2 linked regions of the Astyanax mexicanus genome follow. The protein of the gene in region 1 interacts with the protein of each later gene in a pairwise test. Links are inferred from orthologs where the notes say so. Each region holds a gene or a part of one and is shown on either strand. Other genes may lie near its edges.

Evidence for each region.
Region 2: the proteins of cep72 (region 1) and pin4 interact in binary tests that used the Homo sapiens proteins (3 or more experiments, as listed by UniProt). The two-hybrid records come from large-scale screens. The link is inferred for Astyanax mexicanus from reciprocal best matches to the Homo sapiens genes CEP72 and PIN4.

The regions. Positions count from the first base shown.
Region 1 is NC_064408.1:122,668,351-122,676,695, forward strand, and holds the start of cep72 (centrosomal protein of 72 kDa), read left to right. Parts: upstream 1-4,937; 5' UTR 4,938-4,944; coding exon 4,945-5,053; intron 5,054-7,580; coding exon 7,581-7,714; intron 7,715-8,345. Other genes in the region: spire1b (protein spire homolog 1), read right to left, coding at 1,004-1,035, 2,735-3,020. UniProt on the Homo sapiens protein: Involved in the recruitment of key centrosomal proteins to the centrosome.
Region 2 is NC_064417.1:41,568,216-41,576,712, forward strand, and holds pin4 (peptidyl-prolyl cis-trans isomerase NIMA-interacting 4), read left to right. Parts: upstream 1-5,092; 5' UTR 5,093-5,416; coding exon 5,417-5,453; intron 5,454-5,889; coding exon 5,890-5,960; intron 5,961-6,736; coding exon 6,737-6,856; intron 6,857-7,752; coding exon 7,753-7,911; 3' UTR 7,912-8,066; downstream 8,067-8,497. Other genes in the region: nek12 (NIMA-related kinase 12), read right to left, coding at 1,352-1,515, 1,789-1,980, 2,741-3,950.

The sequences.
Region 1 (8,345 bases):
GTGGATGTTTAAATGTAAATTAAAGAATGAATGTAAGTAATGTAAAATCTAATTATACTTATTTTAGTGGTGTCAACTAAAATACTAGCATATACTGCCAACGTGGGGCGCTGGAATAAAGAATACATGATAAATTGAATAGAGGAAACTTTTTTTACTTTATTATAAACATCTCAGCTTGGTTGTAGGGATTTCTGAATTAGAACTTAGAATTTGCTGAGTATAAAAGAGCGTTTTCACACCTGTAGTTGTGAAAATTTCTATGGTCTGGATCAGTTGATGAGTTTGTTTATTTGGAGCGTTTCTCCCTCTGTTTGGTTTGGTTTTTTACATAGATAGATCTCTGTAAAAATGAAGGTCGCACTTCAGTTTCTGAATCAGTTTCTCTGATTTTGCTATTTATAGGTTTATGTTTGAGTAAAATGAACATTGTTGTTTTATTCTATAAACTACAGACAACATTTCTCCCAAATTCCAAAATAAAGAGCATTTATTTTAGAGCATTTATTTGCAGAAAATAAGAAATAACTAAAAATTACAAAAAAGATGCAGAGCTTTCAGACCTCAAATAATCCAAAGAAAACAAGTTCACATTCAGTTCAGAAATCAATATTTGGTGGAATAACCCTGGTTTTTAATCACAGTTTTCATGCATCTCGGCATCATGTTCTCCTCCACCAGTCTTACACACTGCTTTTGGATAACTTTATGTTTCAAACTAAAATTTAAGCAGTTCAGTTTGGTGGTTTGATGACTTGTGATCATCCATCTTCCTCTTAATTATATTCCAGAGGTTTTTGGTATAATTTGGTAAAATCAAAGAAGCTCATTATTTTTAAGTGCTCTCTTATTTTTTCGGTTACTGTGTTTCTTTTACTCTTTTTAATACCATTGATTTCAGAAGACACAAGGAATGAGCAGTCTTGTTCCCAGTACTGCCATTGTCCAATGACAGTCCCTGTTTAGGAAGTTATCAGTGTTGATATAGAGTAGCTGTACTCACCCACACTGCTGAGGATGCCGCCTGGCCTTTACCTGCGGAATAAGAAAGAGCAGCACTGTCATTACCGGACAAGCACAAATTTGGATGATGTTTATTGATTATTAAGGCCTACAGGGTTTAGCGTTTTTCCTTTGATTGCAATATATTGAGTAAGACCACACAAGCTTATTTTAGACACCAAACATAACATATCAGCTGTACACTTGCTTTTCTGGACAAGCTGAGGGACACAGAAGCAGCATATGAAATATTTTACCAGAGCCTACAGAAGAAGGCCTACACAGTGCAGTTGTGTTGAAAGGGATGGTACTTTCATTCAATTTCATGGCGCTGTATTTAGTGCAGACCTAGTTTAGTGTCTTTCCTGCTGTATCACACCTGCGCCAGCTCATCAGGAGCCTGTTAATCAGCTGAGGAGTGAGTCAGAGCAGAGAACACACCAGGCCAGGCTGTGCTCTGAACCTGTGCTGGTCCTGATTAAGAAAAACAAGCTGCTGTTTCTTCCCCTATCACGTCTCTGAGGCCAGAAAAGTGAAACTAAGAGTGATGTGAATACTGGACACGCCCATTCAGGCCATGTTAGAGATGGTGTACACAGTGTGTGTGTGCTGCCTGTGGCTGTGTACTCAAAGGGTACACCTATTAACTCACTTAGCTCCATCTAATTACACCGTAAACACACAGCATTCCTGAAGAGCGGGCACTTTAAAGCCACAGCCAGAGAGTTTTAGATGTTTTCACTTGAGATGGGAACAGTAGGCCATTAGCTCAGACATTAGATCGGTTACAGCATCAGATTTATTCTTTTTCTAATCAGTTTGAATTCACTCAATTGTAAGTTTATAATATATACCCATCTATGCCCATCCCCAACCATCCATACTAATTCATATCCATATTCATAAACAATAAAATCCATCCATATCTGTCCATACACATCCATCCTAATCCATAACCTTCCTAACAATTCATACTCATCTGTATCCATCCATATCTATACCTTTTCTAACCTGTAATCCTGTAATTCTCTAATCCAGAATAAACCACACATAGAAATACCCATCCATACATACCATTAGCCATCAATCTGTATCTATACTTAAACATTCTTATACATTCCCATTCTAATCTGTATATACCCATAATACATGCCGATACTCATCCATGCATACCCTTAGCCATTAATCTGTATCCATCCTTATACATTCCCATACCCATTCTAATCTGTATATACCCATAATACATAGCCATACCCATCTATACATACCCATTTACACCCATCCATACATAGCTACTCATACCCATCTATTCATACACATACCCATCCATACATAGCTACTCATATCCATCCATACATATCTATTCATACTCATCCCTATCCATACATCACAGTGTTTACATTGTCAGATCATTAACACACTGCCCTCTCTCGCGCTCGCGACTGCAGGCCTGACTGAATGCACTGTGTTATATAACCAGCCATTCCTTCACGGGGCTCGAGATGCAGATGGTGATGATGCCTACTGGAGCTTCCATAGAGTGCTCACTGTGCTAAACGCACAAACAACAAATGCATGCATGCACGCATTCACACATGCATGCTTGCACGCATTCACACATGCATGCATGCACGCACGTGCTGGTGCATGCACCCTGCAGAGGATGCACAGATTTTTCTGCAGCTGGTTATTGCAGTTATGTGATTATGGGATGCAGGAGATCAGTGTTTACCTGCGGGCTGAAGCCGCACTGTGCCGTTCTGGTGTATCCACACGTCCTCCGGACCCTCGATGACCCCCCGGGGGTGCAGCCCCGCGCGCCTGGGTCCCGGGCCGCCCCGCTCCGCCAGGGTCCGGCAGCACTGGTAGCACACGGCCCAGGCCTGCTCCTCATTTATGGGCTGGTTATAGAGGGTCAGTATCTCCTGCAGAGTCAGCTCCTCTCCTTCATCTTCATCCTCCTCCTCCTCCTCCTCCTCCTCGCGCACCCTGGCCTCCATCAGCTCGCGCGCAGACATCCTCTCATCCTCTCCTCATCCTCTGCTCATCCTCCGCTCGCGCTGTCCGCGTGGGTATCAGTATCTGTGGTCATTCAGAGCCCAATACTGCCCAATACTGCCCACCCGCCCCGAAAGCGCAGCTCAGCACAACACACCAATCACATGACCGCGCAGCGCAGAGAGGGGCGGGGCCTCAGCACTGAACACACAATATATATATATATATATATATATATATATATATACACGTATATATATATATATATATACGTGTATATATATATATATATATATGTATATATATATATATATATATATATATATATATATACGTATATATATATATATATATATATATATATACGTATATATATATATATATATATATATATATATATATATATATATATAACGAAAACATATTAAAAAGGTGAATATTAAAAATATTGAATATATTCTTATCACTTCATACGTATCTCTGTCAGTTATGTACTTATACTTACTTATAAAAATAGCCCCAAATATTTTTTTATTAATTAATTAATTTTATTTACTTATTTATTTTTGATGATAAGTAATGTACTATCTTGGTCACTTACTGATAGACAAAGGATATAATGTATTCCTCACTTTTGTGTTTTAGTATATTTTTTTGTTACTTTGCATTATTTTAATTTAATTTATAACATATGTATTATTATTATTTTATACAAAATATTATATGCACGTTATTATCTTGGTCAGCTCCTGCTGTTTACGAAGGCTTACAGATTTTCTGTTTGTACTAAATTTAATCTAATTATAATATATATATATATATATATATATATATATATATATATATATATATATTTTTTTTTTTTTTTTTTTACTGTAAAGCTTTAGGGATATTTTTGTATAATTTTTGATATATATTTTGTGCAAATAGTTTTATACAATAAGTTACTTGGTGAATCTTGGTAAGATTGCTTGTTTTTGTCTAATAAATATTTAAAATTGTTATGCTAAATAAAACATTTAACATTTATTTTGTTAGCATATTCTTCAAAATAAACAAATATATTGTCACTTGCCTGAAGTACTATAGTAACCACAGAGTAACACCACAGTAACCACACTTTAACAACTTTCTAACTCTATGACAACCACCCAAAATACCTAAGCGTACATGCCAGCCACCCAGGTGTCCTAGGTGGTTACCATGCAGTTGCTTGGTTATTGCTATTCTTCCTATGCTTGGAGGTGCTATGCTGTTGTTAAGCAGTTGGTATGGTATCAAATGTGGTTTCTTTGAACTTGCTTGCTGGTGTCATCCTGTTTCATCCCGATATTAAGCCAGTACTTACTTGTCCCAGGTGGTTGCTAGGTGGTTGCTAGGTAGAGTATGCTGTAGCTCAGCAGTTGCTATGGCATCCCGGGTGGTCGAGATGCTGTTGCTGCTAGGTAGTTGCTATAGTTTCCGAAGTGCTTGCTTGTTAGGGTGGTTGTGCGATATTGAAAGTGCTTTCTATGTGGTTGTTGTGGTGTTTCAGGTGGTTGCTAGTGTGTTGCTATGGTGTTGTCCCACATTGTTTTAAGGTACTACCATCACAAAAACACAAGAGGGCGATCAGTCATTGTTATGGGGAGATAATCAGTGTTAAAATATAGCCATCTCTATCTACACGGCTCTGATTAGCTGGATGTGTCCTAAATCGCACCCACGCTGCCTACTTAGGCGGTATTCGGAGGCAGGAAGGTTCAATATGTTATCCTACCCGTCTTAAATGGAAATAAAGCTTCAGAACTTAAAACTCTAATATGTAAAAGAGCGCAAGTGATCCTGTGGAAGCGTCAGTTTGGGTTTCGGAGCCCTTAATCCAGAGGCTGCTCCCTTTTTCTGAGCTCCCTTCAGTTTGGGACACCGCCGTTTACAGAGCTAGGGCGCAGCTGAGTGAGGCGCATGCGCAGAGCGCGTCTCCTCCGGCCGTTTGAAACCATGGCGGCAGATAGCGTATCAGTAACAGAGCAGTGGATCCGGGAAAAGCTCAGCCTGCAGCACCGCTGTCTGGGTAAACTTCACTTTATATATCTGTACAGACTCTACACACCTTTATTAACCGTATCACTATCTTATACGTATGTTATAAACGCTTTAAAGCGTTTAAATCGCACAGTGTTTTCAAGCTAGCACCGTTGTCGCGCAGGTAAACAGTAATTTGTAACGTTAGCTAGTTAATTTAGCTAATCTAGTTACCTTAGTTTAAAGCAGCAGTCCTTAAAGTTTTGTCTTTTAAATTGATAATAATAGTGTTTCTGAGTTTGGAAAAGGGAAAATATCCTGATAAATAGCGTCAGTGTGCTTCTGCTACTATTCCTGCCAAGCCACATACAGTATATTCATTCTAAAAACACAGTTAGTGGTCTGGTAATTAGGTCTCAACAGGAGCTTTTTCTGACTATGAAACCTTAAGCTGTTGCTGGTTACCCGATTAACTATGGTGCTGCTAATAGTGCTGATACTAGAGCTACTGCGAACATGGAGATATCAGACCAGCAAACTCACCAGCCTTTATTTGCACATTCACTCATTGTAAGCCAAATAAATGCAGAATTAGAACTAAAGAGAACAAGGGCTGTCGCGATAATTACGCTGTTGACTAGGGGTGGGCGATATGGCCCCAAAAGTAATATCACGATATTTCACGGTCTTATCACAATAACGATACTCTTGCCGATATGACAAAAACATAAAAATAAAAAATACACTACTGCAACAAAACAAAACTTACATTTTATTATTGTATACGTTATGATACAGCACACCCCTAACTGACATATAAAATAAAATACAATAATTTTATCAGATTTGTAACAGAAGTCAATGATCCAGAATGTCATGATACTAATAATAATGCACTCCAAATATCTCCATATATCCAGGATTAAAGTAAAATAAATGATACTGGACAGATATAATCTGTCTCTAGTAGATATTTAATTGTAAATGAGAAATGTGTGACTTTTTTTTTCGCTTAATCAGCAAAAAAGTAGGATAAAAAAGTGATAATTAGGGGTGAGTGTTATGGCACGATATTTCAGGGTATAATATCGTTCACGATATTCAAAAATGTTGGCGATATTATCGCGTACGATATGATATGGCACACCCCTACCGTTGACGTATCGTAACATGATGTTGATCAATATTTTGTTTATGTTTATGATAGTTTGTTTATGTTATTCAAGCTAGGGCTGGACAGTTATATATATATATATAAAAAAAAGAATTCTTCAAATATATGAACAAGTCTAAATTTTGATTTTGATTTTACAGTGGTATAAAAAAAAAGTTTGGTCACCCCTGATAATTTTCATTATTTTCCTTTATACACCATTGATTGCTCGGATTAGCAATTTTAGTTAAATATATCATATATCAGACAAAGTAAGATATAGCGAAGAAGTAAAAAAAATTAAGTTTATAGGATCTACAGAAAGTGTGCAATAATTATTTAAACAAAATTAGGCAGGTGCGTAAATTTCAGCAACCCAGCAGAAAAATCAAATCAATATTTAGTAGAGATCCTCCTTTTGCAGAAATCTAAACAGCATTTAAACTCTTCCTATAGCTTCCATTGAAAGTCTGGCCTCTTGTTGAAGGTATTTTGGATCATTCTTCTTTACAAAACATCATCTGTTCAGTCAGGTTTGATTCAGGTTTATGATCATGAACAGCTGCTTTAAATCACACCACAGATTATATTTCAATAATATTCAGATCTGGGGTCTGAGATGATCATTCCAGAACGTTGTAATTTTTGTTGCTCTGCATGAATGCTTTAGTGCTTTAGTAGATTTTGAGTAGTGTTTAGTGTTTAGGGTCGTTGTCTTGTTAAAGTATCCAGCCCCGGCGCTTCAAACTTCAACTTTCTCACTGATTCTTGTTCTCAAGACTCTGCTGATATTGACTGAAATCCATGCGACCCTCAACTTTAACAAGATTCCCGGTACCTGCACTGGTCCCACAGCCCCAAAGCATGATGGAACTGGCACTAATTTTACTGTGGGGAGCAGTAAAGTGATTGTGTTGGAATACTGTGTACTTTTTCCTCTGTGCATATAAATAACCACCCTCCAAATAACCCTGAAATTTTAGTTTCATCAGTCCACAGAACCTTATTCCAAATGTGCTTTAGCTTTAGCATACCTGAAGCGACTCTGTTTGTGGCGTGTGCTCAGAAAAGGCTTCTTCTACATTAATTTTCTCCCATACAGCCTCTCCTTGTTTAAACGATGCACAGTGACTCCATCTGCAGTAAGATGATGATGATGTCTTTGGAGCTCTGGAGGTCTGTTTGTTGACTATGACTGTTCTCACCATCCTTCTCCTCTGATTATCTGAGATCTTTCTTGTTCTGCAGCTTCAGTTCTTAACTAGACCTGTGCCTGTGGTTCTTCCATTTCCTCACTATGTTCCTCACAATGGAAAATGTAGCTGACAGTACGGACTGTGACTTTCGCGACCTAAAGCATAGTCAGGCTCTTGATTGATTGATTATCTATAGTTAATTTATCAGTTTCTGTTTGAACCCACAGCGGATGTCCGATCACTGAGCCTCCCTGGATCTGGATATGAAACGGGGAAGATCTGTCATCTGGGAATCTCTCTGAAGAATTTTGTCCGTCTGAAAAGTCTGGATCTCTCTTACAATGTACTGGATTCAGTTCAGGTAAGATACACACTAGGGGTGGGTGATATGGCCCTAAAATAATATCACAATATTTCATGTTTTTTTTTTCGTGATAACGATACGACAATATGATATGACATAACATGATATGACAATAACGATATGACAAAACACTGAGTTAAATAAAAAATATTTCCAGAATACACTACTGCAACAAAATGAATATTAAATGTTATTATTGCATATGATATGATATGGCAAACCCCTAATAATGAGATATTAAAAAAATACAAGGATTGTATCAGAATTGTAACAGAAGTCAGAATCCAGATGATACTACTGATATAATCTGTCTCTAGTAGATATATCATGGGAAATGAGTGTGATTTTTTGATGACACATCACAATATACAGTTTGATCAATCAATTAATCAATCAATCTATCAATAATACCACCCCACCCCTTGATGACATCCAACCATCTATATCTCACCACTGCTATCAGAGGCACACTACTCAGTCCAATCAGCTCTCCCTCCTGGCCCGCCCCTAAACCCATACATCACCCAGTGCCCCTCCCAAGCTAGTCTAGACTTTTTTAAATTTGAGCTCTACCTCTTTACAACTTTACAACTGATGCTCTTAAACATATTATGAGACAAGAAATTCA
Region 2 (8,497 bases), on another chromosome or scaffold:
CTTATCATAAAACTGAGAATTTTTACAAGAAAAACTGTACCAGTTGTATTTAGTCAAAATGTTTTTTTTTTATAAATGAAACCTGAATGGGTTTCACCTAAACAGATAAATATACTGTATGTATACACACAAAACGTACTGCCAAACTGCAAAATGTCACTTAAAGAAAAAAGTGAAGTAAATATATATGTGTTTTTTATGGCACAAGCCATTTGGCAACATACAGCACTCACGTGTGTGACACCTTTTTCCATATATTGATGTAATTTCCCTTTAGAATGAGTGAGGCCAGTGAGAAGGAGGAGGAAACATATGTGAAGTGGATCAGCAGCTGCAGCCCATCAATTTACAAATGTACAAAACGTGCCTCTCACTTCTGCTTTATATTACCGCTCAAAGAAGTGAGACATGGCCAGACATCTGGTGCACTTTCATCGGATGTACAGTATTTACTCAGTAGTATTCAGGGGGTATGATCATTCCCTGATAAAAGGGAGGGAACTATGTGGAAAACATGTTTCAGCTCTCGCATGTTAGCGTTGCTCCTTGTCAGGGATATTTCTCTTATCTTGTTGTAAAGTATAATGCAGTGAGGCCACTCTAGGAGCTATTTCCTTTTTATTTCAACGTTCCTTTCATAAAAAAACACTCTTTTTTGTATATATTCCCTTTTTGGGTTCCTATCTGGCAGTATTTTATTTGGTTCTCTTTCTTTGTTCCCACCATTACTAATCATTATCATCATAATTATAATCATTAAAACACCATCATCTGCAAATTATATCAAAGTATTATGTGTGATTGTTGTAATACTAGCATAATGAAAGTGCTAAAATAGAATATATCATGGCTGCCCAATTAAAAATGTTTTTTTGCATTTGTTAATTTTCAGTTTACTTCATATTTTGAACACATAAGCAGTCCCTTACATTGTGTCAACATTTCTTTATGAATAGACTAATAAAAATTCTCCTAAACCCAAAATAAACTCTTTTAACATTGACTCTCATTGAAAGCTCTTCTGTAAATCTGCTGTTTTGGAGATACATGTTTTTCATTGGACAGTGATGATATGATATAATAATAAAAAAGAGCAACAGCAACAGCAGAACACACAACAAACAAAGCCTGCTTTTTTTCTTTATATTCCATTTTCTAACTGTAGACTGCCATCTATTGGTTATGCAATGTAGTGCTTAGGGGAAGTCCCTGCTATTTAGCCCTGTATGTTAATTTTAATTAAAAAAACACATACTTTAGAAAAATATATTACCATGAGCATAAATAATTTTAATAATGAACAAAACGTTTTAATCAAATTTCAGCCCATCCCAATAAAACGGCTGCCTGCTCAACATGTAGTAGTACCCTCCTGTTCAATGTTGAATATAAGATAGCAGGTCTCCAGATGGTCAGTCCCTATCGTGTGCTGGAACTGGGGCTGCAGGTCTTCTGGTTTCAAGCCATTCAGAAAGTGCCCACTGATCTCCTCATACAGTAAGGGCCCAACATCCTCTGCAAAAGTCAGTATATACATATCATATAATAAGATTGCTTTTTCAAAAAGAAAAAAGACATTGAGTTATCACTGAACAAATGACTAAATTACTAAATTACTAAAATTACCATATACTGTTCAAAACACAGATCATTTTCTACTAAAACTACTTATTGTACTGTACATTGTACATTATGTCAATCCAGTAATTATCATGACTTTCCTAAGCAGAGAAAATAATATTATATACAAACAAGTTATGTATTCTGAATTAAGATGTGCATACTGACCAATGTACTTATCTTTTAGAGTTCTCATGGTGACGGAAAGGCCACCAGAATCTTTCAGCTCCAGGGTATCATCTTCTGATAGGGACTGAATGGCATTTCGGGCACAGCTCACCACTTCAGCCAACTCCTCCTCCTCAGCATCCTCAAAGTCATCTGGGTATTCCATAGCATCCACATCCACATCAGGAGGAGCTGTAACACACAGTCATATACCACACAAATGTTAATAGGCATAACATGCTCTTCATTCATCCTAGGAAAGGTTTTTAACAAAGATTAAATGCATATAGTAAACTGATTGTTACATTACCAAAAACATTACCATACATTATTATCATTCTCATTTGCAGTCCATTAGACAAGGTCTTGATACGTTGTACCTAAGGTTCGCCTCTATACATTGGGAGATGCTGGGCTAGCATTGCTAACAAACACTAAACAAATTTCTTAACCCACTTAATATGTATCAAAATCATATATTTTTGACAAAACTATCGAATGTTAGGCTGAATTTCTTGGCTTCAATGTCAGAAGAGGCTGATCCGAAGTAAAGAAACCCTTAAATACAGTTTTGAAAATAATTTTTGTCAGTGTTTTTCATTTAGTTCACTGCCCTTTTTGCCAGATGGATTTAACTCACATCTGGTGACTGTAGTTTAAGTTACGTATTTATTAGCAGCGCTACACTAGAATCTTAAAGATTCTAAAGATTAGCAATATTTGCATCTACTATAAAAGCAGCCTATCATGCTCAGTTCAGCATAGTGTGTGCTGTTTCAAACTACACTTCTTATATGATTTAATTAGATTCCTGTATAAAAATACAAAATATCCAACCCAGCATTTCCTGCTAATATTCTGATATAAGCTGGTACCTGATACCTGGTATCAGACCAGTGTGACCTAGTTTACACACATCATAGTTATAATAAACCCAAAATGAAAAGCATACATTCAGACCCAACTTGACAGTGCATATCTAAGGATTTCTCATCTTCATAGCTGCGACCCTGCGACTCCTCCTCAAACGGACGCTCAGGACTGAAGGAGGCATCCTTCCTTGAAGTACCTTCAACAGATGACAAGCTCTCGTTTTCTTCAAAGTCTTCTGAATAATCAGACTCAGTTGTAGCGTGGGCCAACTCCTCCTCCACAACAAGAGCTGCCTCATCATCTCCTTTCATACTTGGTGATTCTTGCAGAGTGGGCATTTCCATATAAACAACAGTGTCCTTCCAGGATAATGTTGCATCTTCACTCTTTACAGCAGATATGTCCTCTGGAACACATACTTGTCTTGTCTGAGGCCTGGATTCAACATTAACCTTAGTCAGTTCTGTCTCTTGGTGCTCAATGAATTGGCCGAGATGTTCTTGGACATAGGGCATGCCCAGGATGCTGCTAGCACTCGGCCTGTTCTCAGGAACCAAGCAAAGCATTTTCTCAATGAGAGAGTGAAGGTCTTTTGAGTACTGATCTGGAGCTGGGCTGTATTCACCCTTTATTATCTTGTAGAACAAATTCAGCAGATTTCTAGCCCAGAAAGCTGGTTTGAGTGTGCAAAGTTCATACAGTAAGCAGCCAAGAGCCCATATGTCAGATTTGGTGCTGTATGGAATGTCCTGGCATAACTCAGGACTGAGGTAACAGGGTGTTCCTACACAGGTGGAAGCCATATCCAGTGTGTGGCTCATTATCTTAGATATTCCAAAATCTCCAAGCTTGATCATCCCCCGCTTGGTTAGGAGAATGTTGGAGGTTTTGATGTCTCTGTGGAGAATTTTTTTGGAGTGGATGTAGCTGACTGCCATGAGCACTTGCACAAACCACTTCATAGTCACGTGTTCGGAGAAGTACTCATCTGGCTTTCTTCCTTTTATCTGGTCATCCAGGGTCCCACCATCACAGTAGTCCATAGCAATGTAAATGAGCTCATTTGCTGTGTCATAAAAGGTGTCACTCCATGTCACAATGTGGGGGTGCTTGAGATTCCTCAGAATTTCAGCCTCTTGTAACACAGCCTCTTTGGTCTTTGTCTTTCGAGAGTTGTCTACCTGTATTCTTTTCACAGCATAGAGCTTATTTGTCTCTTTATGTCTCATCAGCAGGACGACTCCTGCTCCACCACTTCCAAGAGTGAGAATTTGCTCATATGTTTCCATGTTTAGTAGCTAACTGGCTATAAAAGTGTAATTTAAACTGAAAAAGTAATTAAACCACCATACTGTGTTTTTCCGTTGTGTTGGGCAGAGATTTCACACTGACTATCTGTTCTTTTCTATGAATTAATGTAGTTATATCCCATTTCCACTTTCCTGCAGCTTTCCTTCCTGCAGTCCGCTCATTATCTAACTATATAACCTAGATTTAGATTAGGTTAACCTAGCTACAGGCACCTTTTTGATAACGCTCAAAACGTCAGCTTGCTATAAAGAGACACTTGTAGTTAGCTAACTCAAACCCGTGTATTTTCACGCTATTTTCCAATAGAACATAGCTACATAGCGTTAATACGTTTAGCTATCTAAATATATTATTTGTAACGTTAAATTATCTGTTTAGTCATTTAGCTAGTTATCTGCTTTTCTTACTAATTTATCGTTAGCTGTCCAACGTCAACTGTCATCTCCGCTCGCGGTTTGTTTGGGTAGGGGTAAAGTCATCCCCCTGGCAACAACGACTTGCTTGAACAAGCTGTTTTCTGATTGGCTGAGAGGGCTCCCCTCTTCACACTGCTGTCTCTCCAACACTGCGTAGAATCTGCTATGATGAAAATAATTGAATTTTAAGTTCACAAGAATGGTTTTATGTTAACAGTTCTCATAATTTAATAGCATTACAATTTTGGCTAAACATTACAACATAATTGCAGAAATTAATATATATATATATATATATATATATATATATATATATATATATATATATATATCCCAATTAGTTAGCATTTAAAAAGTCAGTTCTTTTGGCCCGGCTCACTAAAAAGAGTCAGCTGCCAAGTGGCTCCTCAGAATTTGAGGATGTCAGTTTATTACCAAATTATGTGTAAAATAAAATACTATAGAAAAAAAACACATTATATCAAATGTTTATTATTTATATGGCTTAGTTTTTTTATATACACTGCACAAGATATATATGGAGTGCTACAAAAATAAATTATATGAACTGTTAACTAATACAAAAAAATCAAGGACCCACATACCATAAAAGGTTAATTCTGTATTTATCATTTGTTAATTAAGTGCATTTATTTTGTAAAACCCCCTACCTCCTGTTCGTGTGCTCACCATACTGTTGTAATTCTAATCGCGTTTGGCTTTAACAGAAGAAAACAAATCAGTTTATGCCTGATAAGTAAAAAAAATAGGGAGAATGGGAGAATTGGGAAAATTGTAAATAAGATTAATATTTCGGTTTATTGTTTATTTATATGTTATAATATGTGCTTTTGAGATTTTTTATCTTATATTTTAATTATTTCTATTTTATCCTAAATATCCTAAATCAACAGCGGAGGCCTACAGGGGGGATTCGAAAAAAGAACCTGGCAACATAGCTCTCCTGTGCTGTGTAGTGAGTCGTGCTGGTGTAGGGTACAAGGCTAACTGCTAGCTAGTTATCAGAAATGCCACCTAAAGGAAAGGGTGGCAAAGGTGCAAAAGGTGAGCTTTGTGGTTTAATGGCAACTTATTATTAGAAATAGATGTCGCAGCTAGTCGATTCTTTCTGAAGTGCATTTGGTTTTGTTTTGGAGCCAGCGTTAGCTAAACTAACTAACTAGCATTAGCAACACTGCCATCGTACTGTTGCTAAATATTAGCAAGCTAGCCACGACTGTAGCTAAGCTAACGTACTATGTACACGAAATAACCAGATATTTTGTTAGCTTATCTAACCTAGCTATATATCAATTTATTGGCCAGTGTATGTGAATTTGAACTGAAGTGAGCAGATTTTGTTAAAATATTGCTACCTGGCTATACTAGTAGCTGCACTTGTGCTAGCCTAGGTAGCCATGAGGTAAACTGATAACTGAGCAGATGTGAAGTTTATAAAAGTCTATGGTCTCATAATTTAATAAAGCCTTTTTTTAAACAGGAGCTGCTGCCTCCGGTAGTGGAGACACAGATAAGAAAGAGAAAGCCCAGAAAGGAGGGACTGCAGTAAAGGTAAACTACATGGTTAATTTATATGGTTTAATGTTATTAGCTGACTAGGTAGGTTAGCTAAGAGTTACACATTTTAACATGCATAGACAGACAGATAAATAGATACGTTCCTTTTAGTTTTAGGATTAAGCATAGTCATACCTTGACTATATATATATATATTTTTTTTTTTGCTTAATTCTCAATTGAAAATCTGCATTTTAAATCATGTGTAAGACTTGGACTAATCTCTGTCTGAGAAACTGTCACTTTATGTCCAAATGTTTGTGATTATCTGTTCATCTTACGTATCATCTCAAATAAAGGATTTTAATAGGCAGCTTGTCTATCCTTTGCAGCAGAAACAGTTGTTTAATATGGCTGTACTGTAAAATTGGGCATATCTCTGAATCACATCTGTTGATCAATGATGTTAATTACTTAAGAAAACACAGCCCAGTGCTTTCAGTAACCCGTGCACTAGGTATGGTGACTTTAGACTTGTGCAGATGCTTGAAAATGCCACTCCCATTCTATTTTTTCCATATATATATATATATATATATATAGATAGATAGATATATAGATAGATAGATAGATAGATAGAGAGAGAGAGAGAGAGAGAGAGAGAGAGAGAGAGAGAAAGACAGAGAGAGAGAGATGTGCACGTTCCTTACTGATGTGACATTCGTCTCATTACCTGTGGTGAATTGTTGAATATAGTTGAAATGATGCATGTCAGTGTAAAGTTTGTAAGTGTAACTTAAAATGATGTTTGTTCATTTCGCCCCAAACAGGTTCGGCATATTCTTTGTGAAAAGCATGGGAAATGCATGGAGGCAATGGAGAAACTGAAGTCTGGAGTGCGATTTAGTGAAGTGGCATCACAATACAGTGAAGACAAGGCTAGACAAGGAGTAAGCAGACACAAACTGCAGAATAGACCTTTAATCATAATTCTTGGATGTTATTCCTGCCTTTATTACACAAAAGATTTCTTAAATTAACTTAAGGATGAATTGGGTGTGCCACATTCAAAACTATGCAGTGATCAGACCCTCTAGAAATAAATGTGTAGCTCAGTACAGATATAGCACAGTTTTCTTTACACAGGGAACTGATTCTGTTTGATCATATGAAATATATTGCAATTATTATGCTGACAAACTTAAAAGCTCTTAGCATTAAACTGTTTGTGCAAGTTTGCACAAGCTTTAATTCAATAATAATTCTTATAAATAAATAAAATATAAATAAAAACATTCTGTGTGGTCTGACATGGATTTTGCAGAAAAGATCAACCTTGTTGTGCACAGTATAACTTTTCAAAATGTTTAGTACTGATTTTGGAATATTAGATTTGGTATTATATTGATTAAAGAATAATTTTCTTATTACTACAGCTGGGTATATCATTTGCAAATTGAAGGTTCAGTTATTCTTCTTGTTTACCAGTAGATGGCAGGATCCCACCTGCTTTGTTTCTTACCATTGGAAAAGGCTTTCAGACTAATTTTATTTTTTTAAAACTATTTACTGGTTCAGTTTCCCTTTCTTCTTCTATTCTGTAATTTGAATTCCATAATTACATGTTATTTGGTACCTTTACAAGTACATTAGTGCCCGGATATATTCAGTACATGGTGTTTACTTAAATACTTAGGTTAATGTGTCACTATTCTGATTGAAATGTAATTTTCTTTTTTAATGTATTGATTAGATTAAAAGACCAAATAATGTGTCCTCTGGACAGGGATCAGATTTCTGAATCTGCCTAAACTTAGCCTAAGAAAGTTTGTTTTGCATTTGGCAGGGTGACCTTGGCTGGATGACAAGAGGATCAATGGTGGGACCATTTCAGGATGCTGCGTTTGCACTACCCATCAGCACAATGGATAAACCAGTATACACAGATCCTCCCGTGAAAACAAAGTTTGGATACCACATCATCATGGTGGAAGGCAAAAAGTGACCCCTGTATTTGATGGCCAAATTAGGAAGCTTTGCTTGGTGGCTTTTTTTCCTCAGTTGCTTTGCAGTAATGTGAGCAGCAGATTATTTTGTAACACTGGCTGTATTTTTTTTAAACCGTGTAAATATCAGTTAATAAAAACTGAAAAATGTGAACTCTTAATGTGATTGTCATTCTTGGTTGTTCACAATGCAACAGTGACTTACTTGTCTAAAGGGTGTGGGGCAGTGTTGAGTCAGCAATGTGAGACCATGTGGGACTTAATGCCTTCCTTCCACTGTCATAAAAATTACAAAGACTGATCATTTCAGAGTAAGAAATGGCTTAATGTTCATGGTAAGTATTTTTTTGATCAGTCTTATCACATTTGTGTTGAATATCTGATAAGGAACAGTACCTTTTTGACAACACATTGTCAAACTGAGCACCTTTATATGTATACCTTATAGCAGACACAGCTTTTTTGTAAGACATTTCAGAGACTTTATAAATAAATTAGAATAAAAAAAATAATAAATAAATAAATAAAAAATATAACCTTAGACTGTGTGATATTTGTTTTGTGTAAGTAATGTTTCACAATAAA